4 linked regions of the Tamandua tetradactyla genome follow. The protein of the gene in region 4 interacts with the protein of the main gene of each other region in a pairwise test. Links are inferred from orthologs where the notes say so. Each region holds a gene or a part of one and is shown on either strand. Other genes may lie near its edges.

Evidence for each region.
Region 1: the proteins of PAK5 (region 4) and INKA1 interact in binary tests that used the Homo sapiens proteins (3 or more experiments, as listed by UniProt). The two-hybrid records come from large-scale screens. The link is inferred for Tamandua tetradactyla from reciprocal best matches to the Homo sapiens genes PAK5 and INKA1.
Region 2: the proteins of PAK5 (region 4) and TUBGCP4 interact in a two-hybrid assay, tested with the Homo sapiens proteins (2 studies listed by BioGRID and IntAct). The two-hybrid records come from large-scale screens. The link is inferred for Tamandua tetradactyla from reciprocal best matches to the Homo sapiens genes PAK5 and TUBGCP4.
Region 3: the proteins of PAK5 (region 4) and UXT interact in binary tests that used the Homo sapiens proteins (3 or more experiments, as listed by UniProt). The two-hybrid records come from large-scale screens. The link is inferred for Tamandua tetradactyla from reciprocal best matches to the Homo sapiens genes PAK5 and UXT.

The regions. Positions count from the first base shown.
Region 1 is NC_135341.1:36,327,188-36,334,869, forward strand, and holds the start of INKA1 (PAK4-inhibitor INKA1), read right to left. Parts: upstream 3,015-7,682; 5' UTR 2,784-3,014; intron 1,544-2,783; 5' UTR 1,373-1,543; intron 1,337-1,372; exon of another isoform or gene 1,277-1,336; 5' UTR 1,211-1,276; coding exon of another isoform or gene 1,155-1,210; 5' UTR 1,145-1,154; coding exon 1,085-1,144; intron 680-1,084; coding exon of another isoform or gene 652-679; intron 418-651; coding exon of another isoform or gene 330-417; intron 235-329; coding exon of another isoform or gene 180-234; intron 1-179. Other genes in the region: CDHR4 (cadherin-related family member 4), read left to right, coding at 180-234, 330-417, 652-679, 1,155-1,210. UniProt on the Homo sapiens protein: Inhibitor of the serine/threonine-protein kinase PAK4. Acts by binding PAK4 in a substrate-like manner, inhibiting the protein kinase activity.
Region 2 is NC_135340.1:57,626,995-57,634,552, reverse strand, and holds the start of TUBGCP4 (gamma-tubulin complex component 4), read right to left. Parts: upstream 3,004-7,558; 5' UTR 2,729-3,003; coding exon 2,651-2,728; intron 1-2,650. Other genes in the region: ZSCAN29 (zinc finger and SCAN domain-containing protein 29), read left to right, coding at 4,192-4,509, 4,978-5,182, 7,132-7,558. UniProt on the Homo sapiens protein: Component of the gamma-tubulin ring complex (gTuRC) which mediates microtubule nucleation.
Region 3 is NC_135353.1:122,466,599-122,474,404, forward strand, and holds the start of UXT (protein UXT), read left to right. Parts: upstream 1-4,806; 5' UTR 4,807-4,872; exon of another isoform or gene 4,873-4,945; intron 4,946-5,049; 5' UTR 5,050-5,058; coding exon 5,059-5,162; intron 5,163-6,104; coding exon 6,105-6,186; intron 6,187-6,304; coding exon 6,305-6,372; intron 6,373-6,648; coding exon 6,649-6,756; intron 6,757-7,806. UniProt on the Homo sapiens protein: Involved in gene transcription regulation. Acts in concert with the corepressor URI1 to regulate androgen receptor AR-mediated transcription. Together with URI1, associates with chromatin to the NKX3-1 promoter region.
Region 4 is NC_135327.1:50,970,906-50,978,710, reverse strand, and holds the start of PAK5 (serine/threonine-protein kinase PAK 5), read right to left. Parts: upstream 3,009-7,805; 5' UTR 2,912-3,008; intron 1-2,911.

The sequences.
Region 1 (7,682 bases), on a different chromosome or scaffold from region 4:
CCTGCTCTGGATTCCTTGTGAGCACAGGACTAGCCCAAGGAGAGGTGGGGTAACAATGTGAGCATCACATATAGATATTGGCTGTCCTCAGGATAAAGGGGTGGATGAATGGTACTGGTTCCCGGAGCTATCAGGCCTGTTGTCCTTACTTCTTGGTCCCTCTTTCTGGCATTTTAGGGTGGTCCAGGTGCTGCAAGCATCGAGCAAACCAGCCCAGACTTTGCTGCTGAACAGGTCAGCTGCCTTTGCTCCATACTGGGAGCCCACCTCTTAAACTCAGGCTGGGGCCAAGAGCCTTATTTTATATCCCCTGCTCCTACTTTCCCCAGCATCCAGGGAACTGAGGCATCCATTGAGGGGTTCACAGAGGCACCGAGGATGGAGACGTCTCAGGCACCCAGCAGTGTCATGAGCCTGGTATGGCAACCCATCCATCCAAGTAGTGGGCACTGAGGTCTCTCCAGAGTACTGCTTGCCCTTTCAAGCCTGCCCTTTTCCTTATGGATGGCTGCCCCCGTGCAAACACACATGACTGCTCCATCAGGATGGGGGAGGCAGGTGGCCTTCTGGCCCTTTCAGGGGCAGGCCTCCATCTGCTCCTCTGTCGGCAGAGTTCAATTCATTGCAACCTCTCATTTTCCCCCTCATCAGCATTTTGATGGCAGAGCACAGGACTACTGTGAGTTTCCCCTTCCCAAACCATATTCCACCTGGGCCCTATCTCCAACTAACATTAGGCATCCAGTATCTACTCTTTCCCTGATTTGGGTCTGCTTTCATTCCTGCTCACTCCTCAGAAAAAGTCTGTTAAACACCTGTGACTCAGACCTGGTCTGGTCTCTCTATCCATGGTGGGGTAGGGTGGGGTGGGGCTCCCAGATTACTCCAGTGTCACCAGTGAAATATGGCAAAATGATCTGGCACTGGCCTTATGAAAGCTAGCATTCAGTTTTGGGGCATTGAGGCTTCCTGGGCATTTGAACCAGGCCTTGAAGGACTTCCTGAGTTGAGAAGGGAGGGAGGGGAAAGATTGGATCCCAGCAGAAGAGAGTCACACCCAGAGTCCTGGAATGCTTTTCCCTACCTTTAGGACAGAGGGGCAGTTCTGTTGAGGCTGGCAATGCCCTTCCTCTCTCCTGGCCATTTGGACATAGGTACAGGCAGAGATTACCTGTTCAACACGTGCACAGGAGCCCGGCGATGGCTCTGAGGTCAAGCAGCTGTCTCACTATGTGTGGAATTTCTTTTTCACTTGGTCATGGCCTGTGTGTTCAAGCTGATTCAACAATAAACAAAATTACAATCCTCAAAATCCCAGTGGTGGAAGCTGTGAGGTCTGTGTTTCTTTGTTCTCACTTGGAGAATGCCCTACCTTGTGGGCACACTCCAGGGAGTCACAGGATTATTTTTCTTTTAAGAAGTCATCATACAATGCTATGACTGCCAGATGCTCCCTGGAGGTAGGGGGACCTTGAATCTGTCTGTCCCCTCAGAGGCCATATAGCTTTGGCAGGCAGGGAGAGCCACAAGCTTCCTTTTCTCACTGGAAGAGGACAAAGTTGCTGTTTGAAGGACCCACCAATCTCTATGGCAATTGGCTCAACGTGTGTGGGTCATTGTGGGAAGGATCTGGAACTTTTGCACTAGGGTGGGGGTGGTGCAGACTTGAGAAGACTATGGTATGACTACTTGTGGAGGAGGTGATGGTGGCGCCCTTCTTGGACGGTGCCCCATTTCATTCTGAGTTTCTTCTCGTTCCTTGGCCCATGATCAGTCCTATGCTGAGATGAGTTACTGAACATAGCTAGGTGACCCACAGCAACCTGGAGGGCTGGGTCCCCTGGGTGCAGTGCTGGTCCATTCTGGAATCGATGCCAGTCTGGAATCAGGTCTCCGGCTACTGCTAGCTAAGGGGACCTACTCTCTGGGTGAGGCTACCCTTACTAAGGTGTTCCCAGGTTCTCTCAGTCTTCCCCCCCTCCTCAACCAAGACTGTGGGTCCGAACCCTCTGATGCCACTGAAGGCCGTTCCTTCCCGAGCCAGTTATGGTAACCATAGAAGCAGCCCAAGGCCTTCTGCAAGGAGAAAAGCATCTCTTTCAGGCTCCCACTAAAGTGAGGACATCAGATCAGGCCTCAGGGATGGCAAACTGGGAGCAGGCTGTTAAAGGAAAGATCCGCAGGTGGACTCTTCCTGAGCACTTATTCTGCTCTAAGGGCTCATTAAATCTTCACTGTCACCTCTAAGGAGCATGACCATTATCCTCGTTTTACAGGTGGGTCAACCAAGGCTCAAAAGTAACAGAGCTGGCTAGTCGGGTAACATTGGACCCCAGGGTGTGTAACTGCGCCTGGCGCCAAAGCCTGGAGCGAAACCCAGTGCTTTGTGTGGAGAACCAGAGATAACCGTCTGCAGGGACTCAAAATTCCCGTGGAGGGTGTTTTGAAGGCATGTCAGGACAGTCCGGGGCAAAAGATGCTGTCATAGAAACTCAAGACAAGATACTTTAGGACAGGGAGGAGGGAGTGTCCGCTGTGTGCCAGGGCTTGTACTAGGGATGAGTTCCAGACAAAAGGAGCAGCTAAAGCAAAGGGCCAGGGGCTACCGGGGCAGCAGACGGCAACCCTCGGGACAGATGAGGGGAAAAGCTGGGGACGCCACTGGGAAGAGGGCATTATCCTCTCGAGTCAGTAAGCACATATACGAGACCCTGCACCTTTACTACCATGGGTTAGTAGTGACCTTGGCCTAGGCTTCACTCTCTGCGCCTCAGTTTCCTCACCAGTAAACCGGGGACAACTCCTTCCTCCCAGCGTGGGTGACAAAGCAAATAGCACACAGCAGGCATTCCCTAAGTGTGTGCGCGTGCGTGTGGGAAGACCCTGCCAGCTCTGCACGGGGCCCGCGCGCGCAAAGAGACCAAGGGCGCTCAGTCCTCGAGTAGCCGGCAAGAACTCTGCCGCCAGCGACTCGGGGCACGACGCGCACGCGCCAACCCGTGCGTCATAGTCACGTGCTCGGGGCTTCAGCAGGGGCCTAGCGGGGCACAGTTTAACTGACAGGCGGGCCGGCCTGTCAGTGGGAAGCACCCCTCCGGCGGCTGGCGCAGAGGCTGTTGATTGGAAATAACCTAAGTTAGGGGCGGGCTCTTCGTTGTCCTGGTTGCTATGACGCCCGGTCACCGCCCCCTCGGCTGGCCGCCATCTTGTTGTTGATCCGTACCCAGTGGGCAGCGCTGGGAGCTGGATCGAGCGGCCGGTTTAGGGCCGCTGCTGCGGGGCTCAGCCACCTGCGCTGTCTGCTTGGGGGCGGGCCGAAATCTGGAGGCCCGGGGGGCCCAGCTCCCGTGGGGAGCCGTGGGCGCCCGCTGCCCGGGCTGGGCCGGTGAGTGACAGGAGCCGGACCGAAAGGCCCGCCTGACAGCCGCCCTGCAGTCGGCGGTGGGCGCGGGGTTTGGGCTGGCGGGCGCGGGGCTAGGGCATTGGCCGAACATTGCTAGAGCGTTCTGACTGGCCATCGGCGGGGCTTACTAGAGGCCGGTGCCGAGGCTGTGGGGCCGGGCCGTAGGGACAGCAGGGATGGAGTCGGAGAGCCACGCACCCGGGGGCGGGCCGACGAGGTAGCTGGAAACCGGCTTCTCCGATCGTAGCCCGGGTCTCCGCTGGGCCCTAGCGCTGATGCTCTCAGGGGTGTTGTGTGGCTCCCGGATGGGAAATACTCGCATCTCTTTCCTAATTGTCGCTCCTGCGAGTGATTTTCAGACCGCCGGAGATAGACTAGAAGACGCAGGCGAAAGACCCAGCCAGGCAGGCCGGTGTCACGGCGCTTTGATTCTGACAGGGCCCTCTACCACGCTTCCCGGCGCCTCAGAGCTCGGTACCCGTTTGCTTCTTCCTGAAGAGCTTGGTTAAATGTCCGTGATTCCTGAATTTTATTTTGGAACATAATTATTTTGGCTTCTCGACTACTACTTCTTGGAGTGTGGTAAGGTCTTCCTCTTTTTCTCTAGGAGAGAGTGAATGTTACAGTCATGATTTGGTTGGTTGTGTCCCCTAGTGTTGTTCCGCCAGTTTGATGAAGGAATACAGGAGTGTATTCGAGTCAGTAAAAGAAATGAAACTTGTTTTTGCTGTAGTGGATGATATTGAACTACTAAAATGAACTTTTAACAGAACAGTACTAAATGTATCTTGCCTTATGAAAACAGGTTCCTTTCTCTCAGACAGGGTGGAGTTGGGGGGTGGTTGGAGAACCCCGGTAGAATGTGCAGGTCTAGAAACAGTTTTGATAGCTCTAGAACACATTTCTCTTTCCTTTGGTCCCATAGCTTCTCCACAAAGGCTCCTTGTATGCGGTCATACAAAAGTGTACTTTGTGCACTTGTGTCAGGATCTTGTCACCTAAGAATGTTTGATTTTGAAAGAAACCAGGTTCTTGCTTAGGAGTCATTTTGGAGAGCAAATACTGAACCCAGTTCGTCTGTTGTTTGTCTGAGATTATACTTGTGAGAAGAGAGAGCTGAGTAGTCTTTAGTTATTAAATTGCTCTCTTCGGGGCCATATTTTGAATCATTAATGAGTTTTGACTTTGCTGAGACCAGTTTCTTGGACAGTTCTTGATAAGAAGGGAGGGAAACATTAAAATAATAGGGACTTTTGAAAATTGCCTCAAGATATCTTTGTTTTCCACTAACTCTTCCTTTAGAAAGTCAGGCACCTGGCTTCCCAAATTAACCGTTTAATGGGGTTAAATTTTTGCTGGTTTCTGTTAAAATAACCCATAGGTTTCTAGCCTGTTTTGGATATTAGATCTCTTGAGATATAGAATGAGACAGGCTTTTTCCTTATAAAAGTTCTCAGCACTACCTTTTGCATACAATTTTAGGGAGTTCAAGGGCCCATTGAAATCCACTCCATAGACTAACTCTATGTTAGAACTGCTCACCCAAGGAATATTATAGAATATCTAAGAACTTTTATTGCTTTTATTTAATGCTCTTACCTCCTCATGAATATTTGAGTAGTGGGTGATTCTTTATTGAGCATGGTATCACCCAAAGTTAGCTGATAGTAGTATTTTTGCTCTGGATATTTTTGAGGCGAATGGGTGAAAGTGTTGTTATAATAGTGGACACTAAATCTCCTTTAACTTCTTTGTCTTTATGTGATTCACCTTTGAAGTTGGACACTTTTAACTATCTGAGGGAACAGAAATACTTCAATGAGATCCTGCACAGAAGTCAGGAATTGCTTCAGGCTTATGAAATATAGATCTGATGTCCTAATTTAGCATTCAGGTTGCTGTTGTGAAGCTGGCTCTAGCCCACCTCAAAATGGTTTGCTAAACATTCAATACGTTATTCCCTACACAAATCCTCTCTGAATCAAAGGGCCTTTGCCTGTTTGGGATGCCCTTTTTCTACAGCTCCAGTTCTTTTCCTTTGGGATTCAGCTCAGGTCCTACCTTCCTACCTACCTTCTTTGTGAAACACTCACAAAACATTCTAGCTCCTGGGGATACTCCCTCTGAGCTCCAGTAGTGTTATTGCCCTTTTGGCCTTAAGCAAAAAACATAAAATAGTATTTGCTCTTTTTTTTTTTTAGTACTTGCTCTTTTAAACATAATTTTTTTGTGTTTCCTCTGGAAGGAAACTCTTACCTAAACTCTCTCCTGTAGGAACTATATTTTATACCTTTTTGTGTCTTCTTGCAGTGGCACATAGTAGATGCATACTATTTACAATATATATTAAATTTGTCTGAGTTGGAAATGCTTTCTCTAATTAAGCAGGAAAATGCAGGGCATGGGCATGGGCAAGTAGAACAGTGGCCATGGAGCGCTACCTCCAACTCTGCCGTAAATGCTTGCATGTGTTGACTCTAGCTTCTTAAGGAAGCAGGCGTGTTTTCAGTGCTCTCACTACAGTGGCAAAAGTAGTCAAAGTGCAGAACTTTGACCTGATAACAAAAAGTTAATTCCACATCTCAGAAGTGGTCTGACCTGGAAACAGAAAGTTAATTCCACAGCTCAGAAGTAGTTTATCTCCCTTCCGGGCTAAGATGTCATTTTTGACTCTTGGAAAACATTTGCTGGGTGACATGTGGCACTAGGTGCTGAGGTTCTTCAGTCCTATTCCTGGTTAGTTCTTGGTCTTGCTGCTGTAAATGTGTTAGTACTATTTGCTGCTTGCTCTACTGGCAGTGCTACCTTCAGAATATAAGGAACAGTGGTGGGCAGAACTGGAAAAAGGCTGCACCGTGCAATTTGTCTTTGGTTTGGGGTCAAAGAGTAGTCAGGCATTATGTGTATTTATGGTACTAGGTCTGTACTTACACATCAAATTTTAAATAGATTACCATTTCTCGGTGGGAAAACCTAAGACATCTTGGTTCTTTTGCAGATGATGATAGCTGAAGGGCTCTCATATTTGTGAAAGAGGCGTTACAAATGAGTTTTAATTGGAATACATGTTTACTTTATTGCTGAATCCTTGTTAGGGACTTTGTTTATTGACTGCTTGAAAATCTGCTACTGATCTCTTTGAGCAGAATTCTGTAAGAGTTTTATTTGTGGATGGCGGTTTAGTTATTGTATTCTGTCCCCTTATTTTATTTATTTTTTTAATATTGAGAGGCCGTGATTTTTAATTATGTCTTATGTGGTGCTTTTAATTTTTTCATTATTATCTTTTTCCCTGATTGTTTTATTTTTTTTATTGTGAAAAATAACATATACAAAAAGCAATACATTTCAGAGCACACTGTGACAATTAGTTATAGAACAGATTTCAGAGTTTGGTATGGGTCACACAATTTTAGGTTTTTACTTCTAGCTATTCCAAGACACTGGAGACTAAAAGAAATATTAGTATGAAGATTCAGCAGTCATACTCATTTGTTAAATCCTAGCTACTCTAACTCCATCTTTTTCTTTGATCTTTCTCTCAATCTTTAGGGGTATTTGGTCTATGTTCATCTAACTTTTTCATGTTGGAAAGGGCTGTGGATAATATGGGATAGGGGGATGGAACTAGCTGAAGTTCTGGAGAGGCTGGCCCCTCTGGGTTTCAGGATTTATCTGGCCTGGGAAGCATCTGGAGGTTGTAGGTTTTTGGCAAGTAAACATAGTGCGTTGGACCTTTATTGAATCTCAGGTAGAGCCCTAGGTGTTCTTTAGAGTTGTCAGGAATGGTTTTGATTGTAGTTTGGCAAACCATGATAAATAGCAATATTTAGCTGAAGTTTGTGTTAAAGTAGCCCCTAGAGTACCTCTTGACTCTATTTGAACTCTCTTAGCTACTGATGCCTGATATAATTCTTATCCCCCTTTTGGTCTCCTGTCCCCTTATACAAAAGGTGAGCAGGCTAAATGAACAGGTCTAGGGCTGAATTTTTTTTCAAGTTTAAAATTTGATGTCAGCGAATAAGAGCATCTTAAAGTCCATAAAAATAATGGGCATATTATGATTGAATGAACACTTTAAAAGCAGCTTTTTTTTTATAATAAAAAAGCCACATGATAGCAAGTGTTGGTAAGGATGTGGAGAAGTTGGCACCCTCATATTAGTGGTTGGAATGTAAAATGGTGCATATACTTTGGAACAGTCAGCCTGGCAGTTCCTCATAAGGTTAGATAAATAATTACCATATGACCTAACAATTCCACTCTAAGAGAAATGAAA
Region 2 (7,558 bases), on a different chromosome or scaffold from region 4:
TAGTTAAGAGCAAGCTATGCTTTAGTTTATACATAGCTGTGTGTGTATACATATTCGATATTACAATAAAATAATTTTCATCAACATTGGGTATCCATGACAGTTTTTTCCCCTTTATTCAATTGTAAAAAACACTACTCTGAGAAAGAAAGCAATATTCTCTTTTTTTGGTCACCTTGTTTTCTTCTATAAATATCTAAATACCTACTATGGGGCAGAAGTTGTGCTAGATGCTCCAGGTATAATGATGAAGGCTACCGTGGTCTCTGTTCCATGGGCAATGTATGCAGGGAAAAGGATAAACAGATAAGAACAATAAATAAATCTTAATGATTTGTGGTATTATAAGAGAAATAAACAGGTGGCAGTGATAGAGAACAATAACATAAAAGGAAGATACCTAATTGAAAGAGGTGCCAGGGAAACTTTTTCTGAGGAGGTATCTTTAAAGCTGAGACTAAGAATAAAAAAGAGGAAAGTAACAGAGACTTTTTCATAAAAAAGAAAGGAAGAAGAAAGCTGAATTACTTGTGGTTCCCTTCTCAGCTCCTAGCAGCTACCTCTCCTCTACTCTATTTTAATCTCCTTTTACTTCAGATAGTCAAACATCCAGTAGATACTTAGTGAACATTCTCCGCCTATATGCCTGAAATTGTGCAAAGTTCTATGGAGGAAAAATAAAACACCAATTCAGTCTTCAAAGACCTGTACTAAAAAAGTAACAATTCATGCTCAGATATGACCTCTCTCTCTCTAAGCCCAACTCTGTAAAGAAAATCATTACCCTCCCCCCTATGTAGGACAAGACTCCCAGGGGTGAAAGTCTCTCTGGCAATGTGGGACATGATTCTCAGGGATGACTCTGGCCCTGGCACCATGGAATTGACAATGCCTTCCTGACCACAAGGGGGAAAAAGAAATGTAACAAAATAAGGTATCAGTGGCTAACAGAGCTCAAGTAGAGTAGAGAGGCTATTCTGGAGGCTACTCTTAGGTAACTTTCAGCTAGCTATTGCTAATAGCCATGTTTTGCCAAACTCAATCAACATCATTCCTGTTAACCTAAAAAATATCTAGGCTCTATTTGAGATTCTACGAAAGTTTCACATGTGAACATTACTTTCCAGAAACCTACAATCTCCAGGTAGTTCCTAGGCCAGATAAGACCTGAAACGCAGAGGGGCTAGCCTCTTCAAGAATATCAACGAGTTTCATGCACTTATCCCATATTATCAATACCCTTTCCAGCATGAAAAAGTTAGAATGGGAAGAGCACAAATACTCTTAAAGATTGGGCGAAGGATCAAAGGAGAAGGAGGAGTTACAACAGAGAAGATAGGATTTAACAAATGAGTATGACTACTGAATCACTGTATAGATATTCCTTTTAGTCTTTGGTGTCTTGAAGCAGCTAGAAGGAAAAACCTGAAATTGTTGAACTGTAACCCATACCAAACTTTGAAATCTGCTCAATAACTGCTTGTTACAATGTACTTTGGAATTTATTGCTTTTTTGTATATACAATATACTTCACAATTTTAAAATGTTAAAAAAGTAACAATTCAAACTCTACCATACAAATTTTCAACTCGCTTATTTTTTTAAGGAAACCTCACCTAAATTCCCAACCTGCAAACATAAATTTATAAAAACAAGAGGAATCTGTTTGATTTATACGTTTTATAAACTATAATGTAATTTTTCTGCTCTTCCACAACCTATAACGTCAGTTAACATAATAATGGCACAACTTTGTGACCACACAGACCCAGATTCAATTTGTCACCACTAGGACTCCAGGTATGAAGTTCTGAGCTTCAGCTTGCTCAGTTGTAAGCTGGGGCTCACAATATCTAACTTCTCAAGTGATTGCGAGTACTGGATAACATTAGGGGAAGCAGAAATAGGTAAGAATAGTTCAGATAACTGGAGGCAGAACGACCTGGGTTCAAAGCCAGGCTCTGCTAATTACTAATCAACTACGTGACGCCGAGAGTTACATAATATTGACTCTAGGTTCAGCTGTAAAATAGAGACTGGTGGGTGTGAGGATTAAATGAGATAATGCATATGTAAAATGTCTAACACATAGCACTTCATACAGCCCTGATTACACTTCCACCTATTGCGGAAATTACTCCTTTCCGAGTAATAAGTGGAACACATCAGATGCTCTCATTCATTTCTTCATTCAACAAAATTTGCTGAGCACGTGTCAAGCGCTGTGTATTTGGGCCGGCCTTCAAAATTCAGTTCGAAGCACAGTGCAAGTGTAAAAATGGGAGAAAGTGACTCTTTCACCTTTTTTCCTCCTCCTCTTTCACTTTTACATGCAGTTCTCCAGCTCCTCAGGTTCGGACACTAGACCCTTAGGCCCCTTGAGTCTCACGTCCCCCGCCAGGGTGAGGCCTCTCAGGATCTGCCCTCAGTTTCCCCCAGAACGGCCTCTAACCCGGAGGCCCCTCGGGCATCGGACTCCAGTTACCAGTTCAGGGGCACGCCCCTTCAACCACAGCGCCTGCAAGTCTCGCTTTCTCCACACCCTCAGACTCCACCCCAGGCTCTGGCTCAGGTCCCGGGAATATATGCTCGTTACTTCCCGCGCTCAGGTCCCGGGAATATATGCTCGTTACTTCCCGCGCTCCTTACCTGGAGGCCACTTCGTTTGTTCCAGGTGAAAATGGACCCCGGATACCCGCTCAGAGCCAAAAGCAATTCGTGGATCATTCCCACGGAGGAACGCGAGTCCTTGGATACGTCACCCTCTCCTCCGGCGTCCCTCCAGAAGACCACGGAGGCGACGCTCCCTCCTTGGCGAACGCACAAGCCCGTGAGCGGGAAGGTTCTCCTCAATGAGGCCCACGGATAGAACTGCTGCGGGAAAAGCAGATGGGAAACCCGACAGAGGTCTGCGCGCCGAGCACCGGAAGTGCACGGCGATCCGCCGGGCCAGCCGGCTCTCTAGCTACAGTCTCCGCGGGAGATGGAGGCGCCTTGGCTGCTCGCGCATGCGCCTTTTGTGTCCCGAGTCTCCCGCTCGGACTTCCGGTTTGGGAGCTGGACTGGGAGGCTGGAGAGCTGGGGCTGGGGCCGGACCCGAAGTGGGTGAGGTTGTCCTGGGTAGGGATGCGAGTGGGTTAAAGGACAGCCCCTGAGGGAGACGCTCCCAGGGGTGGGCCGGGGGGGGCGCTCTTAGGGTGCCTTAGGCCGATTGAAGGCCTCTAGAAGGGACTTCACGGGGGCTCCAAAAGTGACCCGGCCAGAGGGAGCCAAGACAAAGAGGCCGGAACCCCTTACCCGCCCCTGCTTAAGCTGAGCCCCGCGCCCGCGAACCCCGCAGCACTCGGAGGCTCTGGTCAGCACCAGAACTCATCATTCCCAGGAAACCCATCACCACTGCCCTCTCCAACTCCTCCACCAACTCGATGTTACTCTCTCCAAGTCTGCTCGGCCTTAGTTTCAGGAGCCTAAGCCAACTTTAGATGCGCATGGTTTCCTTTCAGTAGCTCCCGAGTCCTTGTTGAGCAGTTTACTAATGCTCTGAGGGAGAAACAAAGATCCGATATTCAGTAATTGATTTTTCTCTGGGATGGAAATTGGTAGTTGTGAAGTTGAAAGGGGCGGGGCGGGGCGGGGCGGACTCAGAGGGCCTCAGGGAGGACTGCGAGGGTCCTGGGAGAGATCATCTGCAACCCGCTGGACAGAGACTTTCCATGGCTTTCAGCAGGTCGTGAATTGCCTTTAGATCCTCCCGAGCTCCAAGTCTCCCATATGGTTCAAATTCACTGTCATTGGTCAGGGGAGCTAAATAGTACCAGATAAGGGGGATGTGGGACAGGACCCCACACAATACTATTCTCTGCTGCTTCCCCGGGGCTGTCCTGGACGTCACCCACAAAAGGCAGCTTTTGAAAGGTCCCACTCCTTTATGCTCATAGTGTTGGCTTGCTGCTCTGAAGATGGTGCTACCTCAGATGGCCACTTGGAGCATATGGGAAGTCAGGCCAATCCTGACAAGACTTTAGGCATATAAATATATTCCTTCTGATAGTGCCATCTCTCTCTATTATAGGAACAAACTCCTCTCACAGAGAGAGAGTCTTCTGCAGGTGCTTCTCCAAGGACATGGGAAAATAGGTGTAGGCCCTGGAACCCAGACTTAAGTGGAGGGAAGCTGCTTTCTGCTATGAATGATGGCCAAACCCACTTTGAGAGGGAATGGCACTAACTCTGAGACCTTCCGCCAGCGCTTCAGGAGATTCCATTACCAGGAGGTGGCTGGGCCCCGGGAGGCTTTCAGCCAACTCTGGGAACTTTGCTGTCGGTGGCTAAGGCCGGAGGTGCGCACCAAGGAGCAGATTGTAGAATTGTTGGTGCTAGAGCAGTTCCTGACCATCTTACCTGGGGAGATCCAGAATTGGGTACAGGAGCAATGTCCAGAAAGTGGAGAGGAGGCAGTGGCTCTGGTAGAAGATTTAGAAAGAAAGCCTGGAAGACCTGGACGTTCGGTGAGAAGGGAGAGGGAATTCAGAAATGTGTGATTGGAAAGGGGCAAGGGTAAAGGGCCAGATAAATATATAGATAGTTTTAAAGAAGGGCATAGTCCCTTTTTGCAATTTTAACTGCAACAGGTAAGTTTTTCGGATAGAGCTTGTCTGGAAATTTTACCTGGGTGTACCTTTACCTACCCTGCCATAATGAGTTATTCGTGGTTTCTTACTTAATAGGGAAGACAGAGGGATTTTTCTTTTTCTAGCCTGTAGTTGGGTTTATTGTTTTGATCTTTTCCTTCTAGAGTTCAGCTGCTCTAAGCTAACAGTAATGGAATGAGACCCATGTTCAGTATTATCTCCTCCCCCTATAATCGCAGCCGTGTCCCAGAGGATGCTCTCTTTTGGGGTATTAACTAATCTCCTTTGGGAATGCCCCCCCCCCACTACGACCATGCAGTGACAATTAATGGGGGTTGTTTCTAGGTCACAGTCTCTGTGAAGGGGCAGGAAGTGCGCTTGGAGAAGATGACACCCCTGAAATCATCACGGGAGTTATTAAGTGTTCGGCAGGAGTCAGTGGAACCCCAGTCCAGGGGTGTACCCAAGAAAGAGAGGGCGAGAAGCCCAGACCTGGGACCACAGGAGCAGATGAACCCAAAGGAGAAGCTCAGACCTTTTCAAAGGAGCGGTGAGGAGTAGATTCATGTGGGAAGATAGCATACCATTCTAACTGGGGAAGTAAGGTTGGGAATAGAAAGTGGGAAAGGGATTTCAGGAATAAGTGGAAAATTGTAGAATATGCAGATGTTGGGGACCTCCTGAAGACATGTAATTTAGCCCTCTGCCTACAGTATTTTTATATTTCTACTTTTGATAAATCTGCTAGAGGATGGCTCCATAGTTTTATCAGAATTTGGAACTATTTTATTTCCTTTTGGTAATGATGACAGTGGGTCACTATTTTCTAGATAAAACTTATTTTCTATACTTGAAGACCCAGCTTCTTTTATTCATTTTCCTTCTTCATATAAAACTATATTTGTTGTTTAAGCTTTGCCCCTGAAGCTGAATTCTTCAGACTTAAGTTTTTTTCTTACTCTCCTCTATAACCTTTAAGTTCACCAGATGTCATGTTATTTGTGGAGAACTATTCCAGTGAGTGTCTGGTAGGTAGAGATAGAATGAGAGCTTTTCTTTCACAATTTTGCTACATTTTCTTTTAGTATAGTCCAATTTAGGATTATTTGATCATTCTTGTTCACGTGGTAACTTCCAGGACTCTTATCACTTTCTCTATTACAAGTGTGCCTAGTTGCTAATTCTTGTACTTGATTTTGTAGAACTTGTTTTTCTTCTTTGTACTCTATTGAACTCCATTTTGCAAATTACTTTGTTCTTTAACTTTTTGAGGCTATTTTGAATTCTAATCTTATCGTCCAAGATCTTAGCCTTCTCAACCAGTTTGGTAATGGTCTTTATCTCATCATCCAGATCAAATGCCTGAACCACACACCAGACTTGCAGGTTAATCAGAAAGTGGTTTTTGAATACCTACCACGTGCTCAAAACCTTGCAGAGTACTCTGTGCAATAAGAAGAGGTGCCTGTCTTCAAAGATCTTACAGTATGATTGAGGACGCACAGCAAATTATAAATACGTGCTGAACAGAATTGTATTGAAACAGTGCCAAACAATGACTTACCACTCAGTTGTGTACTATATCTGTTTGGCAGAGTGAGAGATAAGGTAGGGATGGTGTAGGGAAAACTTGAGGGCACTGGTATATAGAACTTCTAGAAGGATGGGTTCAATATGATAGGACGGAATTAAAGGAAAAGTACAGAATGGTGGATAAAAGGTATGCTGTGCTCTGGAGAGAACAGTCTAATATGCATGGAGAGTGTGTGGTAGGCAATAAGGTTAAGATTCAATAAGTAGGATAAGGCTAGATTCTGATCTCAGAAACTGCAGGGGAGTTTAAATTGGATGAGGTTAAGATTTAGAGAGTTGATGAAAGTTCTGAGCAAGAAGAGATGTGATGGGAATGGTGTTCACAACACACTAATTTGGCAGCAATAGTATTTTAATTGAGGAAGTGAGGGCCTGAAGCGAGGTAAGGCAGTGACTGACTACTGTGGTTATCCGGGTGTGACGGGATAAGGAGTCTAGACTTGGATAGTGCCAATAAAATTAGAGCAGAAGGACATACTAAGGGAAATGCCTTTAGACCTTGGTAGACAATCCCCTATTTCCCACCCTTGAGATTACACAGAGTTTAATTCTTTAGCCCCAGATGAAGCAACTGTAGGAGACAGGAGGTGACTGTTCCCAACAGCATTAGGACTTGCATACAAGTGGTGGTCAGAAGCCGTAGGGAGCAACTTGGAATAGAATTATCTGCTCTGAGCATACAACAGGATCTCTTCATCTCTAGTCACCCTGCTCTGGAAAAGGAAATCTTTCTCATGTTTTAAGGTTTCCAGTATTTTTACTTTCCTCAACAAAGTGAACTTTCTGGAAACATTTCCCTAGATGCTTTCCTTATAATCATCTTGATAAAAAAGACAGGACTAAACTCACAGGTGTTTTATGAGCAGTCCAAACTATGATATCCTTTGTTTACTTCCCTGCAAGCAGGATTTCCATTTCCTAAATATGGTGTGGCCTCCAGGCTGGAGCAAGGAGAGCCATGGATCCCAGATCTGCTGGGCTCCAAGGAGAGGGAATTCCCAAGAGGCGATCATACAGGAGATAGACGAATGCATGCTGATCTGTTACCAAAAAGGAGAGAGAGAAGAAGCTGGGTGGAACAGGATCCCTGGGGCTTTGAGGATGAGAAGGTGGCAGGGGTACACTGGGGCTATGAAGAAACCAAAACTCTCCTCGCAATTCTCAGCCAGACTGAGTTTTATGAGGCTCTTAGGAACTGTCATCGAAACAGCCAAGTATATGGGGCTGTGGCTGAGCGACTCCGGGAGTATGGCTTCTTCCGGACCCTGGAACAGTGTCGGACCAAGTTCAAAGGTCTCCAGAAGAGCTATCGCAAAGTCAAGAGTGGCCACCC
Region 3 (7,806 bases), on a different chromosome or scaffold from region 4:
TGGTGTAAAGTCTAGGGAACCACTGCCTAACACAACGTCTGGAAGATGCTTCCCTTTGTTTTCTTCTACCAGTTTTTAAGTCCTAGTTCTTATATTAGGTCTTTGATCCATTTTGCATTAATTTTTGAATATGATATGAGATGGGAATCCTCCTTCGTTCTTTTGCATGTGGTTATCCAGTTCTCCCAGCACCATTTATTGAAGAGACTATTCATTCCCAATTGAGTGGATTTGGCATTGTTGTCAAAAATCAATTGGACCTGGAGGAACTGAGTGTGGGGAAATGAATGGACATTCGCACACTGGTGTTTCTGGCGGCAGTGATCACTATCCACAAAGAATGGGTAGCCTAAGGATAAAATGACTGAGGACTGGAAGGGGAAACAATGGTGTATACAATGGACTACTGAGCTGCTGCAAGAAGGAATGAAGTTGGAAGGCATGCAATAAGATGAATGAACCTTAAGAACTGAATGTTGAATAAAATGTCAGGATAAAGAAAAATATTGTCATGCCTCAATTATATGGTCTAACTATAATATAAAAACTCACTGAATTAAAGTTGAGAGCATGGGTTATCAGGTTGGGGCTTTTGTAAAGGGTCCTAGATTCTAGGCTCTTACAGCAGTCACGTATATTCAGGAGATGTAATTGTTAATTCTAAATTCTGAGATACTGAGCTGCTTGCATGTAACATGATCTTTCCCAGAAACTTCGGGTATTTATGTGACACCTAAGACTCAGAGTCAGAGCTCTGAAGCTATGAAAGTAAGCAGTACCCCGTACAGGAACAGTTTAAAAAGTTGAAAAAGTGATCAGACATTGAGTAGAGATATGAATGAAGCTGATCTGGACAGGACTAAGGTATATAAGAAGACTGGGAAAAGGACAGTATCATTCATATCTTAAAACTTCGACTTCTGTGTGAGACTAAAGGGATAGATGTTTATTTGGGACAAAATTTATATTTTGGGTAGTGCATTTCCTAATTTAATTTGTGTGGTCAGTTTAGTTGAACACCTTAAGTACAGGGAATCTTGAATAGGGCATGAGATTTTGTTAGATTGTCCAGGTTAGTGTGATGTCCCAATAAATCCCAAAATGATTCAGACAGTGAATAAAGAAGTAATTGCCAGTTCTCCTTAGGGGAATGGGGAGAAAGGGGAAAAGATTCAACTTCCACATTTGGAGAATTTCTGATACTCTCACAAAGCAGTGGGGACAACCAAATCAATAGGCTGAGTCCCCAGTCTTGGGGTTCGCCCCTATGAAATTTATTCCTGCGAAGGATAAGCTAAGCCTACTTAAAATTAGGCATAAGAGTCACACACACACACACCCAGAGAACCTCTTTTGTTGCTCAGATGTGGTTTCTTTCTCTAAGGTGACATGGCAAGGGAACCCACAGCCCTTCCCTCCTATGTGAGACATGACTTCCAGGGGTGTAAATCTCCCTGGCAATGTGGGACAGAAATTCCAGGATGAGATGGGACTCAGCATCAAGGGATTGAGAAAACCTTATTGACCAAAAGGAGGAAGAGAGAAATGAGAAAAAATAAAGTGTCAGTGGCTGAGAGATTTCAAACAGAGTCAAGATATTATCCTGGAGGTTGTTCACACAAATTATATAGATATTCCTTTTTAGTTTATGGTGTATTTGAGTGGCTAGAGGAAAGTACCTGAAACTGTAGAGCTGTGCTCCAGTAGCCTTGTTTCTTAAAGATGATTATATAATGATATGGCTTTTACAAAGTGACTGTGTGATTGTGAAAACCTTGTGTCTGATGCTCCTTTTATCTATGGTGTGGACAGATGAGTAAAAAATGTGGATAAAAAATAAACAGATAATAAGAGGTACAAAGATTAAAATAAATTGGGTAGATGGAGATACTAGTGGTAAATACTAGTGGTCAATGAGAGGGAGCAGTTAGAGGTATGGTATGTATGAGTTGTTTTTTTTAAGGAGGAGGTTCATTCATTTTTTTCATTTATTCATTCATCGTACAAGTATTTTGGGTGCCCATTTGAACAAGTATAAGGCCTTTTACTAGGTTCTCATTTGGCCCCAGAGACAGGAAGAAATGCATGCCTTCCCAGAGAACTTATAAACCTTCCCTTTTGGCGTTTTCTGGTTACGGTATGGTTTAATCCCTAATTAGCACTGCATGGTTTAATTCCAAATCCATAACTCTTATATTTCCTCTGGCCACTATGATAAGCAGGTAGCTGGGTTTTCTATGGAGCTTGCTCTTGAAGTTGCAGAAATCCTCCCTGTTGTAGATATTTCATTTTTTATAGCTCATCCCTCATGAAAAATGGCTGTTGCCACTGTTGGAACAGAAGGAGGGATAATGACCAACCAATTCCCAAACCCAGTTTCACTGGGCCCAGCTTTGGGAAACAAACACCCCATAATCAAGCTGCTGCAACTGATTTTGAAATGTATTTACCAGTTGTATCCATTTTAAATTATTTTCTCTTTCCCTGCTTACAAATATATATTGCCTAAATAGATCTAGTTCAAAACAATCCTCATAGAGCACCATGATAAAACTGGAGATGGAGACATGATTTGTCTTTTGTAACAGCTACGCAACTTAAACTATAGAAGTGTCCTCCTCTTTATCAACAAAAGCTGCTCAAGAAAGGACTTGGTTTTTTGTTTGTTTTAATTTTAATTTTTTTAAAAATATATAACAACAAACACAAAATTCTTAAAATATGATCATTCTGGTCTACATATATAATCAGTAATTCACACTATCATCACATACGTGCATATTCAACATCATAATTTCTTAGAACATTTGCATCAATTCAGAAAAAGGAATAAAAAGACAACAGAAAAAAATTCATACATACCATACCCCTTACCCCTCCCTTTCATTGATCACTAGCATTTCAATCTATTAAATTTATTTTAACATTTGTTCCCCCATTATTTATTTATTTTTAATCCTTATGTTTTACTCATCTGTCATTAAGGTAGATAAAAGAAGCATCGGAAGCAAGGTTTTCACAATCACACAGTCACATTGCGAAAGCTATATCACTATACAATCATCTTCAAGAAACATGGCTACTAGAACACAGCTCTACATTTTCAGGCAGTTCCCTCCAGCCTCTCCATTACATCTTGAATAACAAGGTGATATCTACTTAATGTGTAAGAATAACATCCAGGATAACCTCTCGACTCCGTTTGGACTCTCAGCCATTGACACTTTATTTTGTTTCATTTCTCTCTTTCCCCTTTTGGTCGAGAAGGTTTTCTCAATCCCTTGATGCTGAGTCCCAGCCTATTCTAGGATATCTGTCCCACCTTGCTAGGAAGGTCCACACCCCTGGGAGTCATATCCCACGTAAAGAGGGGGAGGGCAGTGAGTTTGCTTGCTGTGTTGGCTGGAGAGAGAGGCCATATCTGAACAACAAAAGAGGTTCTCTTGGGGATGACTCTTAGGCCTAATTTTAAGTAGGCTTAACCTATCCTTTGTGGGGTTAAGTTTCATATAAACAAACCCCAAGATTGGGGACTCAGCCTATTGCTTTAGTTGTCCCCACTGCTTGTGAGAGTATCAAGAATTCTCCACTTGGGGAAGTTGAATTTTCCCCTTTTCTCACCATTCCCCGAAGGGGACTTTGCAAATAACTTTTTTATTCACTTTTCAAATCATCCTGGGATTTATGGGGGCATCACTCTAGACAAACCTTCAAAATCTTATGTCCTGCTCAAGGTTCCAAGTACTTATTGTGTTCAATTAAGCTGTCCACATAAGTTATATTAGGGACTGCACTAGTCAAAATATAAATTTTGTACCAAATAAACATTTTTTGGAAAGGACTTGTTTTAGTGGCATAATGTCGATGGATGAAAACGCTTTTTAAAATGTTATCCTGCTAGCTTACTCTTTTTTTCTTTTTATTTCTTTTTCTGGAGTGATGCAAATGTTCAAAAAAGATCATGGTGATGAATACACAGCCATATGATGATATTGTGAGCCACTGATTGTATACCATGTATGGACTGTATGTATGTTGAAGATTTCTCAATAAAAAATATTTTTTAAAAAAGAACGTAACAATAAAAAAAAAGCTTACAAATTTAAATAAAACACACAGGAACTATTTCTACTACGAGATAGCCAAACGTGAGTGGAAAACGTCATCGACCCTCCATATGACCTCCCTACTACAAGAGGCAATTAGAGGCAATTAGACATAACAGGTTAATGTCCACTTGAACCCCATTTATGGATTGTGGGCCGCAAAGCTGCAGTCATCAATGATGAATTTGAGACAATCTGACTCCGTTAAAAAAAAAAAAAGTTTAAATGCTCACACTCATTACCATTACCGTGATTCAAACTCAAATCTCCCAGGTGAGTAAAAATCAAATCCAGGTCGATAGGTTACATGGGATGTACTCCCTTCCCTGCAGACCAGAACCATAATTAACTTTTGCAGGTCTCTTTCCACAGCCCTTCCTTTTAAATATCAAATGCTTTACTCCCTTTCTCTATCTCTACCTGTGAGTCCCACCTCCCCCAGAACCCGCCAAATCCCATTAAACCCCACCCCTACGAGTTCTGCATGCTCCCCATAAGCTCCGCACGTAACTTTCATTGTCCCTACTAGCTGGTTCATTGCCAAAACAGCCCCTACTCGCACGCTCCGCAGTCTTCACTTCGCTTCGGATACATAAAGCTCCGCCCTTCTCTTCTCCGCTTTGGCCAGTCTTCTTCCGTTCAGGACCGCCCCCTCCATACCTGGCCATATGATTGGCCATCCGGCTTGCCATTACATCATTCATCCGCGCCACCCGGAAGCCGCGGTTCATACCAACTCGCCGTTCTTTTTCCTGGCGGTTCTAAGGTACGGGCCGCATTTGGATGTCCCTGAATGGCAGTGTCCCAGAGTTGGGAGGGACGGAAGGCGGAACCCCCAGGTTGGGTCGGACGAGCCCATTCCCAACGTCAGGAGGGTGGAGATGTGCTGGTCATGAGGCCGAATTGGAGTGATCAACATGTCTTCCCCCTCCTAACTGTCCAGGAGCCCATCATGGCGACGCCCCCGCCCCCTAAACGGCGGGCCTTGGAAGCCACGGCAGAGAAAGTGCTGCGCTATGAGGCATTTATCAGCGACGTGCTACAGCGGGACCTGCAGTGAGTGACTGGATACGGGGCAGGACGTTTGGAAAGCTCCACGTGGTGGGCGGGGTGTTCAGAGTCAGGGCCGAACCTTCTGATTGGTGAGCGGGCGTTTGGAGCTCGTCCCCTCGCCCCTTGCTATCCGGAAGGAAGGACTACATTTGGGGTGAGGTTTGGCTGGGACTTGGCGTTCAGAGTGGCAGGCACGTCCGCGCCTACGTAGCCTATGATATCGCGTAATGGTTCAGAGCTAGGTTTCTGGACCCAAGTTCGAATCCCGGTTCAGCCACTTGCCATCCGTGTGAATACCTTGTTCCTCGCCTCTGTGTGCCTCAGTCTCCCCAGAGGTGAAATGGAGAAGTAGATAAACCTCATGCAGTGGCCTTGGGTTTTCAATGAATCCTATCATTGTAAAGAATTTAGCATGAATGCTGGAAACATACTAGAGCCTCAACGAGTATGAAGAATTGTTATTAATGTATCATAATCCAAGCAGGAAGTAGAGTGCTCAGAACTAGGGCTATGAGAATTTTCTAGGGTAAAGATGGGACATTCTCATCGAGGAAGATATTTGGGTTGGAGTATAATAATAATAGTAATAATTAATAGCTATCATGTATGTAGAGCTTACTGTTTGGCAGTCACTATTCTAAGCACTTTATATGAAACACTCATTTAATCTTCCTAATGAATTTGAGGTAACACTGTCATCCCTGTTTTATAGATGGGAAAACTGAGTCCCAGAGAGGTTACTTGTCAAGGTCACACAAGCTAGTAAAGGGGAGAGCCTGGATTCAAGCCCAGGTAGTCTGACTCCAGAGGCCAAAATCTTAACTTCTGCACCAAAATGCCTCTTCATGGCGTGGTAACATGAGGGTCTCAGAGGGTCATGATATCAGGTATCCCCAGAGGGACAGGATCACGTATTGGTCACCAATTAGACTCTCACCCCATCAGAAAGGTGCTGGACCATCGTGACAAGGTATATGAGCAGCTGGCCAAATACCTTCAACTGAGAAACGTCATTGAAAAACTCCAGGTAAAAACACTAGGGTTGGGTACCTTTGGGAGATGGGAGAAGAAACTCCAGAGCAAGACCTGTCACCTGACATAAAATCTGACACCTGACCCCTACCTCTTTCTCCCTCACCCCATAGGAAACTAACCATTCGGAGTTATATATGCAGGTGGATTTGGGCTGTAACTTCTTCGTTGACGCAGTGGTGTGAGTGCCTACCCATCTACCTACCTTTGAATCTACAAGGTTCAGCATCCCCCCTCCTTCATTCAACAAAATATTTTTGAGCATCTGCTATATACCAGACACCATGCTAGGTTCTGGGGATGTGACAGTGAATAAAGTAGGACAAAAGTCTTGCCCTCCCAGAGCTTCAATTTGGGCCAGGCTGGGGGTAGGGAGGAATCAGAAAACATCTTAAACTGGCTGGTATGCTAAATGATGTAAAGAACTTTACACCTCCTCTAACCACTCTTTCATTAGCCCAGACACTTCACGGATCTTTGTGGCCATTGGATATGGCTTTTTCCTGGAGCTGACATTGGCAGAAGCTCTCAAGTTCATTGATCGTAAGAGCAGCCTTCTCACAGAGTAAGTTCCATTCATGAGGACAGTGTCTAAAAACACCACCATTATCAATACCCTTCTTCCTCTTCCCATGGCTACCATGGATGATACTTTAGGACCCAACTCCCTTCCTTCTCGGGGCTGGGGCTGAAGAAAGTGAGAATGCAAAGCTTAGCACCAAACACAGCACCTAATAAGCATTCAGTTATGGTCTTTGTATTGTTCATTTGCACAAATATTTATTGGGCATCTTTTGGATGTGATAATGGCATTGCACTCTTGAAGGACAGTGGCCTTATTTACACACAGGAGTGTTTAATGGTAAAGTGTCATGATGCCTGGAACTTTCATATGGTCCAGCAAAAAAAGCATGAGTTTGTAGAGAAAAAGAGAAAGTAGATGTAACAGATGATTAATGAGTTATGAATCTGGGTGAAGGGTTTACAGGTGTTCATTATACTATTTCATTGGTTCTGTAGGATTGAAATTTTTCAAAGTAAAAGAAAAGCTTCAAAAAATTTTTACAGTTGATTTGTTCAAATCCACAAAAGACCATATAACAAGGTCCATATATCACACTTGGTTGATAGGTCTTTTAGGTCTCTATTACTTTATTTCATTTTCTAGGATTGAGAACTATTTTGATGGCTATAGAAAACCAGATAGGGTTATATACAACCTTTTTCTCTCCCAGAAGTTTAGATGTGAATTAAAGGAGAAAAAGATGTGTACCCAGTGGGAGAAATGGGAGGGAGGAGGAGGTGTTTGTTTTCAAGAATGGTCTAGTAATAGTGATAAAAATAATAATAGCAAACATTTACATAGCACTTACTATGCCAGGATAAGCACTGGACATTTTTCACTCATTTAACCCTCACAACAACCCTATGAAGTGGGTACTATTATCCCATTTTCAGATGCATGATTGAGGCCCAAAAAAGGTTAGAAGTGGAGATGGGATTTAAACCCAGGCTTTCTGGCTCCGAATTTGTGCCCTCCAGTGGATTGAATTGTTTAATGTCTGAGGGTTCCCTGTTCATGGAAAGAAATACTCAACACTGTTTTTATTTTGTT
Region 4 (7,805 bases):
TTTGCTCCTTTCATAGAGTGTCTGTGAATATTAAAGAAAAGTAATTGGGGGCAGAAAAGATGTGCCAAAAGCAAAGGGGTTAGGCCTGGCCAGGGTCTTTACACAATGCTTTTGAATGACTATGTAGAAGGGAAGTTATCAAATTTCTGTGCACCAAAATCATCTATTAAGGTTTACAATGTACAGTTTCTATTTGGAATGATGGAAAAGTTGTGGTAATGGATGGTGGTGATGGCAGCCCAACATTATGGATGTAATTAACAGCAATGCATTATATATTTGAATATGGTTAAAAGGGGGAAATTTTAGGTTGTCTGTATATTACTAGAATAAAAATTTTTTAAAAAATCATTAGGGAAGCTCATTTAAAATAAAAGTGCCTGGCTTTCCTCCATGGCTACCAATTTGGAGTGAAAACCAGATTTCTGAAGGCCCCTGAATAGTTCTAAAGCACCACCTAGATCCCCCTACAGTGAAGGACTCACTTATCCCGGGGTGTGTGGTCAGTAGGCAGCCTTCAGTCATGGGATCATCTCAGTGGAAGAAAATGGCCTTGTCCAATGCCACAGCCTTTCCTGGGTAGCCCCGAAGCAATGGCCAATGATTAAAGATTTTGTTGGTCAACTTTGGGTCAGCTCTGAAGGCCACCCCAGATCTCCCTGGAGCATTGGCCAAGATGCCACGGGGCCTGCATCCCTCTCGATTTCTCCCTCTGCTGCTTCTGTTTTCTTCTCCTCCTGTCCCAGGGCATTGTGTCCAAAGGATACTGCTTAATAAACTCCCCAAACACTGACCTCTGTCCCAAAATCTGATTCCTAGGGAACTAATTTGCTGTTTGAGAATGTGAATCTGAAATCCAGGTCCACTTATGTTCTCCCTCACCCTAAAAACTTTCTCAGGTCCTCATTGTCCCCAAAGTCCTTCACATGGAAGTTAAGGACCTTCATGGTTTAGTGCAAATCTTTCTTTACTGTCTCATTTCTCCACATCCTCTTCATAATCCTCAAGCCAACAAGGCCAACCTTTTTTCTGTTAAACTTTGGCATTTCCATGCAGGAAGCCTTCGTGTAAGTGTTCCTCCACCATTAGCTTCCCCTACCTTTTTCCTGTTGAAATCCTATTGGTTCACAAAGATACCATTCAGATACTGCCGGAGTCTTCCTTAGCTCCTCAGGCTCACTCTGGCCTCATTTCCTTGCTTGGAGTTGTCTCGATGTTTGCATGCCCTGCTCTTAATCCTGTGTTTTCCAACATTCCATTTCTCTATGTCACTTAACCTAGTGCCCCAGCCATGGGAGATAAACAAAGCATTTGTTGGATTAGCCAATGGTAACAAAGCAGTGAATTTCTAAAATGCAAAATTGGACCTTTAGGACAGCGCCATAGACCATCTCATTGAAGGAAGCTATTGCCCCCTTCACTGCACAGATAAGAAAGCTGAAGGAACTTGCTCAAGATTACATAATTAATTAATAGTAAAAGACAAACTTAACTCAAATCTATTGAGTTTTTATTGCACATGTATTTTAAAAGTCTTTTTTTCCTATCAGGGCTCTTATTATTATTTCAAATTAGCTTATTAATTTATTTATTTGCTTACTAATTATCCGCCTTCTTCCCTCTGGGAGATAAGTCCTGGGGTACAACACCTGGGCCTATTCCAGTCGCTGTTGGTCCCTGACACAGACAGCACCAGCAGCCCCTCGGTCTTCAAGGGGAGACCCCAAGGCCAGGCCCCCATTGCAGCTGTGTCCAACCTGCACCACTCAAGGGACCCCTTGGGGCTTGGGTCTGGCCTTCAAGTACCTCCAAATGGAAGCTTCTGGAAGAAGGTACAGCCCTCCTGCCCGCGAGCTCACTGGGTCTACAAAGATGCCCCCCACCAAGGCCTTTGCCCCCTGTGAGGCCCCAGAGGACAAAGAGGCGGGTGGGCGGCGAGAGGCCGAATGGAACTGTCTGCTCATTCTGGCCTCCTGGGCCACTGTGGCCACCGCCCAGGGACGGTCCGGCGACCCGCCACCTGGAGCCCAGACCCCAGAGCCACATCCTCGGAACGACCCGCTGGGAGGACCCAGGCCTTTGGGTTCACGTTTTAAATTAAAAATATCGTACAAAGAAATCGAAAACCTATTTTGAACCACTTTTAACATAGATTATGCAATTGATTAAATTCCCTTAAAAACTTGGATCTGAATTACATATTTGATATGCCTGATTATTTTGATCACTTCAGACACTTCAAGAATGGCCAAAAGGACCACAATTTTCCTCATAATTACTGCCACACATTCAGAAGTATTCTGAAACTGAGTATAGGAGATTTAATTCACTCTAACTCTCTTTACACTTACTTTAATAATTCTTAGATTTAGAGTTTTTCCTGTTTTTGATAGTCCCCAATGTTTCCTAGTATTATTATTACTTTTTTTTTCCAAAGAGAGAAAGAGTTTATTGCTAAGCGTATAGTAGGAGAGCAGATGGCCTAGTGGCCCAAAGTCTGTCTCCCAGAACCACAGTAATTGTGATAACTTTATTAGAGAAAAATTGGGCAGGGTTTAGGATAAGGAACACAGTGGCCCCAGATGATGTAATTAGCGGTGATCTGATTATTGAGCATATGTTGATTCCTGCTTAGTCAAACAATGAATGTAAGAAAATGGCAGAATGAGGTATAGGTGACTTGTAGCTTAAAGTCTAAGCTACTGTGCATGTCAGGTGAGCCCATTTTGGTTTGATGGCTAATATTGTGTTGATAACCTCCCAGGGTTTCAGTAACCTTACAAGAACCTGCAAAAAGGTATTTATCTTCTCAAAATAGCCCTAATTGATGAAGATGGGCTGCTACATAAATCACTAAAAAAATATAATGTTTGGAGTATAATATGCACACGTAAGTACAAACTAAACGTACCCATATAATCAGTCCTCAGAAGAAGAAAGAGCATTGCCAAGTGAGCAGAAAGAGTTAGCACAGCAGGTCTGGTTCACCCAGTTCCCCTTTAAGTGTGTTACCATGGTGATGACCCTTGGTCAACTCTGAGAACTAAAAGACTCTAATGTTCACATAATGACTAGGTAATCATATTAGTCCATATCCCTAAGCACTGGGTCAAGACGGACTGTGTTTGTCATGTAAAGTAAACACCAGGATTCACGATGTGCATTGGGGGATTGCTTTGGGGTTCACACCATGGCTGGCCATGTACCAGATAAGTTCTTCCATTTAAGAGCTTTGGAACTCAAGACTCATTCTGACTTTCCTGGGCACAAACATCTGGCATAAGTCCCTGAAATTCATATCCAGAGAAGACGCTCCCTGAGATACCTGCTGAAAGAAGCAAAAAAGCTTGTTGGACTGTTTGAATGGCCATAGCCCAAATACCCCTAAAGAGAGGGCTAGAAAAATCAAAGGTGATGGTGTAGTTATACAGAGAAGATAGGATGTAGCAAATGAATAGGAATGCTGAATCATTAAACTGATATCTCTTTTAGTCTCCAGCATCTTAGAGCAGCTGGAAGTAAAAACCTAAAATTGTGGAATTGCAACCCATGCCAAATTCTGAAATCTGGCCTACAATTAATTGTGGTGCTGTGCTTTGAAATTTATTGCTTTTTTATATATATGTGATTTTTCACAAAAAAAAGAAAGAAAAAAGTAGATTGTGATGATTAAAAAATTGTTATTCCTTCGAGCCTCCCATATTCTGGAGCAGCTAGAAGGAAAAATCTGAGAGGATCATATGGTAGCCCATGACAAACTCTGGGGTCTGTCCTGTAACTATTTGTTGAAGAATGCTTTGAAAACCATTGCTTTTTCCTTTCTTTGCTTTGTGTATATGTTATATTGTGCAATTTTAAAAAGTTTGAAAAAAAGAATTAATTGTAAAAAAAAATTTTAAAAGCCGATTGGACTTCTAATGACTTTGCTGGTGCATAACTTTTTCCTGCTGGTCCTGTGCTGTATCCTATGCTGTCATAAATCTTAAGTGTGAATATAACTTCATGTTGAGGGAAGGACCTCAACCATGTCAGTTCTTCTAGCTAATTATTGAACTAGTGGGTGGTCATGGGACCGCTGAGACAACCAACATCTCAGAAGACCCCTCTTACCTCCTAAAAATCACTACCTCTTCCCAATAATAGCTACTATCTGCACTTTTTTTTTTTTTTTTTTGGAGTTTGCCCTGCACGTTTTTGGAATTATTTGAGCCTAGTGACCTCTGTTTACCCTTTTTTTAAAAATTTTTTTTATTGCATAATATAACATACATACAAAGCAAAGAAATAAAAAAGCAATAGTTTTCAAAGCACTCTTCAAAAAGTGGTTACAGGACAGATCCCAGAGTTTGTTGTGGGCTACCATATTTTTCCTTCTAGCTGCTCCGGAATATAGGAGGCATATATTCTTTTTTATCATCACAATTGACTTTTTTTCCTTCTTTTTTTGTGAATAATAACATATATACAAAAAAGCTATATATTTCTAAGCACAGCACCACAATTAGTTGTAGAACATGTTTCAGACTTTTAACATGGGTTACAATTTCACAATTTTAGGTTTTTACTTCTAGCTGCTCTAAAATACTGGAGACTAAAAGAGATATCAGTTTAATGATTCAGCATTCCTATTCATTTGTTAAGTCACTTTTGATCTTTCCATACCTCGCATTGGGGTTGTTCAGGCTATGGCAATTGTAAAATTTTTATATAGGAAGGGTCTGCCACTAATGTGAGATAGAGAGATGGAAGTATCTGATGTTCTGGAGAGGCTGGGCTAGTTTGCAGAACTTGTCTGGACCAGGGACTCATCTGGAGAGTGTAGATTTCTGGCAAGTTACTCTAGTGCCTGAAACCCTTGTGGAATCTTATAAGTTGCCCTAGGTATTCTTTAGAATTGGCTGGAGTGGACCTGGTTGGGGGTTGGCAGGTTATAATAGGTAGCAAAGTTTACCTGAAGCTTGCATAAGAGCCACCTCCAGAGTAGCCTCTCAGCTCTGTTTGAACTCTCTCTGCCACTGATACTTTATTAATTACACTTCTTTTCACCCTTTTGGTCAGGAAGTAATTGTTGATCCCACAGTGCCAGGTCTGCGAGTCCTCTCCCACACTGCCAGGGAGACTTTTACCCCTGGATGTCATTTCCCATGTAGCATGGAGGCCAATGATTTCACTTTCAGAGTTAGGCTTAGAGAGACTGAGGCCACATCTGAGCAACAGAGGTCCTCCAGAAGTAACTCTTAGGCATGCCTACTCTAATCGTCTAGGCTACCTACATAAGCTTCACAAGAGTAAGTCTCAGGATCGAGGGCATGGCTTATTGATTTGGGTGTCCCTGAAGTTTGACACAGTATCAGGGATTCCCTGATGGTAAGGCTTAATAGTTCCAGAGTCTTTCTCCCCTCCCTCAGGGGACCTTGCCAATACTTTTTGATTATCTGGTTAATATACTCTAGGATGTTTCCAGGCATTAATAATCTATACAGGATTAAAGGGCCTCTTTCTCATTCTGTGCTCTCTGTGTTTCAGTTGTTCAAATGAGCTATACAGATAGGTTGAATTAGATTATGCACTACAGAAAATTTCAGTTCCAGACCAAATAAACCTTTCTTCCATTGCTCTGAAAGAGTATGTGTGGTTCTAAAACATAGACATTGTCTTCCTTACCCCTATGCTCTGAATTACTTTAACCCTAACCTGCTTGACTTTGTTCTTATCTCTAAATATCAGGTTATATATATATCTATTTATATATATATGTCAAAGTCCAGAAATAATAATCACCACTCTGGACCTAATGTGTCTGCTCTAAAAGCTTAAAATCTAGGCTCCTGTTTTCTTATAAGCATTTTCTAAAGGTGACCATAACATTGTTGTTTTTTTGCTTCTGGCTTATTTTGTCTCACCAAATACCCTACATGTTCATTCACACCATTGCATGCTTCACGACAATGTTCCTTTTTGTAGCAGCACAGCATTGTTCATAAGTATACACCATCATTTGCCATTCTACTTCTCCATCACTGCATCCTACAGCCACCAGCATTCATCGGGCCTAACGTCCACAGTCCATCAACATTCTCAATTTTAGATAATTTCATTGCTCCGAAGAGACAGAAAACCAATAAACATACTCTGACCAAATAGGAGATCTAAACTTCCTCTTAACTCTTGTCCCTCACCCCATTATTTACCTCTGCTGTTGCTGTGGTAATGCTGATGGTCTCCTTTTGAACATAGCTCACAGCATGCAATAGCTGTTTTCCCCCTGTACCCTGGACTTAAACACTCTTTATACAAGAATCAAATCTTTGAAGTAATTCTTACAAGAACTCATTCATATTTCAAGTGTGAGTCAGTGAGATACATAGGTCTATACAATCCCTTTCAATCTTGTTCATCTTCAATATGGTAAAATTACTTCTAGACCCACTAGAGAATCACCTTCACTCCTATCTATTCCCTTGCATTGGAGTTCAACCTCATTAGCTAATGGTTCATCCATCTCTAGCTTCTAAGCATCTCCAAGTCCCCTGTATTCTATATTATAAGTCTCTGATTATACCTTCATACTGGGCATAAAAGTGGAATCATACAGTATCTGTCCTTTTTTCTGTCTGGCTAATTTCACTCAGCATTATGTCCTCAAGGCTCATCTATCTTGTCATGTGCTTCAGGACGTCATTTTGTCTTTCTGCTGCATAATATTCCATCATATGTATATACCACATTTTGTTGATCCACTCATCTGTTGATGGGCATTTGGTTTGTTTCCGTCTTTTGGCAATTGTGAATAATGCTGCTATGAACATCGGTGTGCAAATGTCTGTTTGTGTCATTGCTTTCAGCTCTTCTGGGTATATACCAGGTAGTGCTATTGCTGGGTCATAGGGCAGCTCCACATTCAGTTTCCTAAGGAACCTCCAAACAGTCTTCCATAGTGGCTGCACCATTGTATCTTCCCACCAGCAGTGCATAAGTGTCCAAGTTTCTCCACATTCTCTCCAACATTTATAGTTTCCTGATGGCTTAATAACAGCCAATCTTATAGGTGTGAGGTAGTATCTCATTGTAGTCTTGATCTGCATTTTCCTTATAGCCAGTGAAAATGAGCATCTCTTCATGTGATTTTGAACCATCTGTATTTGCTCTTCATAAAAATGCCTATTCATATCTTTAGCCTATTTTATAATTGGATTGTTTGTTCTTTTGTTGTTGAGTTGTATGATCTCTTCGTATATACAGGAAATCAAACCTTTGTCTGATATGTGATTTCCAAATATTTTCTCCCATTGAGTTGGCCTCTTCACCTTTTTGACAAAGTTTTCTGAGGTGCAGAAGCATTTGATTTTGAGGAGATCCCATTTATCTATTTTTTCTTTTGTTGCTTGTGCTTTGGGTATAAAGTTTAGGAAGCTACCTCCCAATAGTAAGTCTTGAAGATGTTTCCCTACATATTCTTCTAGAAGCCTTATGGTGCTAGTTCTTATATTTAGGTGTTTTATCTACTTTGAGTTAATTTTTGTATAAGATGTAAGATACGGGTCCTCTTTCATTCTTTTGACTAGTGAGATCCAGTTCTTCCATGCCCATTTATTGAAAAGCCTTTTTTGTTCCAGTTCAAAGAATTTGGGGGCCTTGTCAAAAATCAGTTGACCATAGATTTGGTGATCTATTTATGCCCTCTCAATTTGTTTCCATCGGTCAATGCTTCTGTCTTTGTGGCAGCACGATGCTGTTTTGACCACTGTGGCTTTATAAAAGATTTTAAAGTCTGGGGGTGTTAATCCTCCCATTTAGTTCTTATT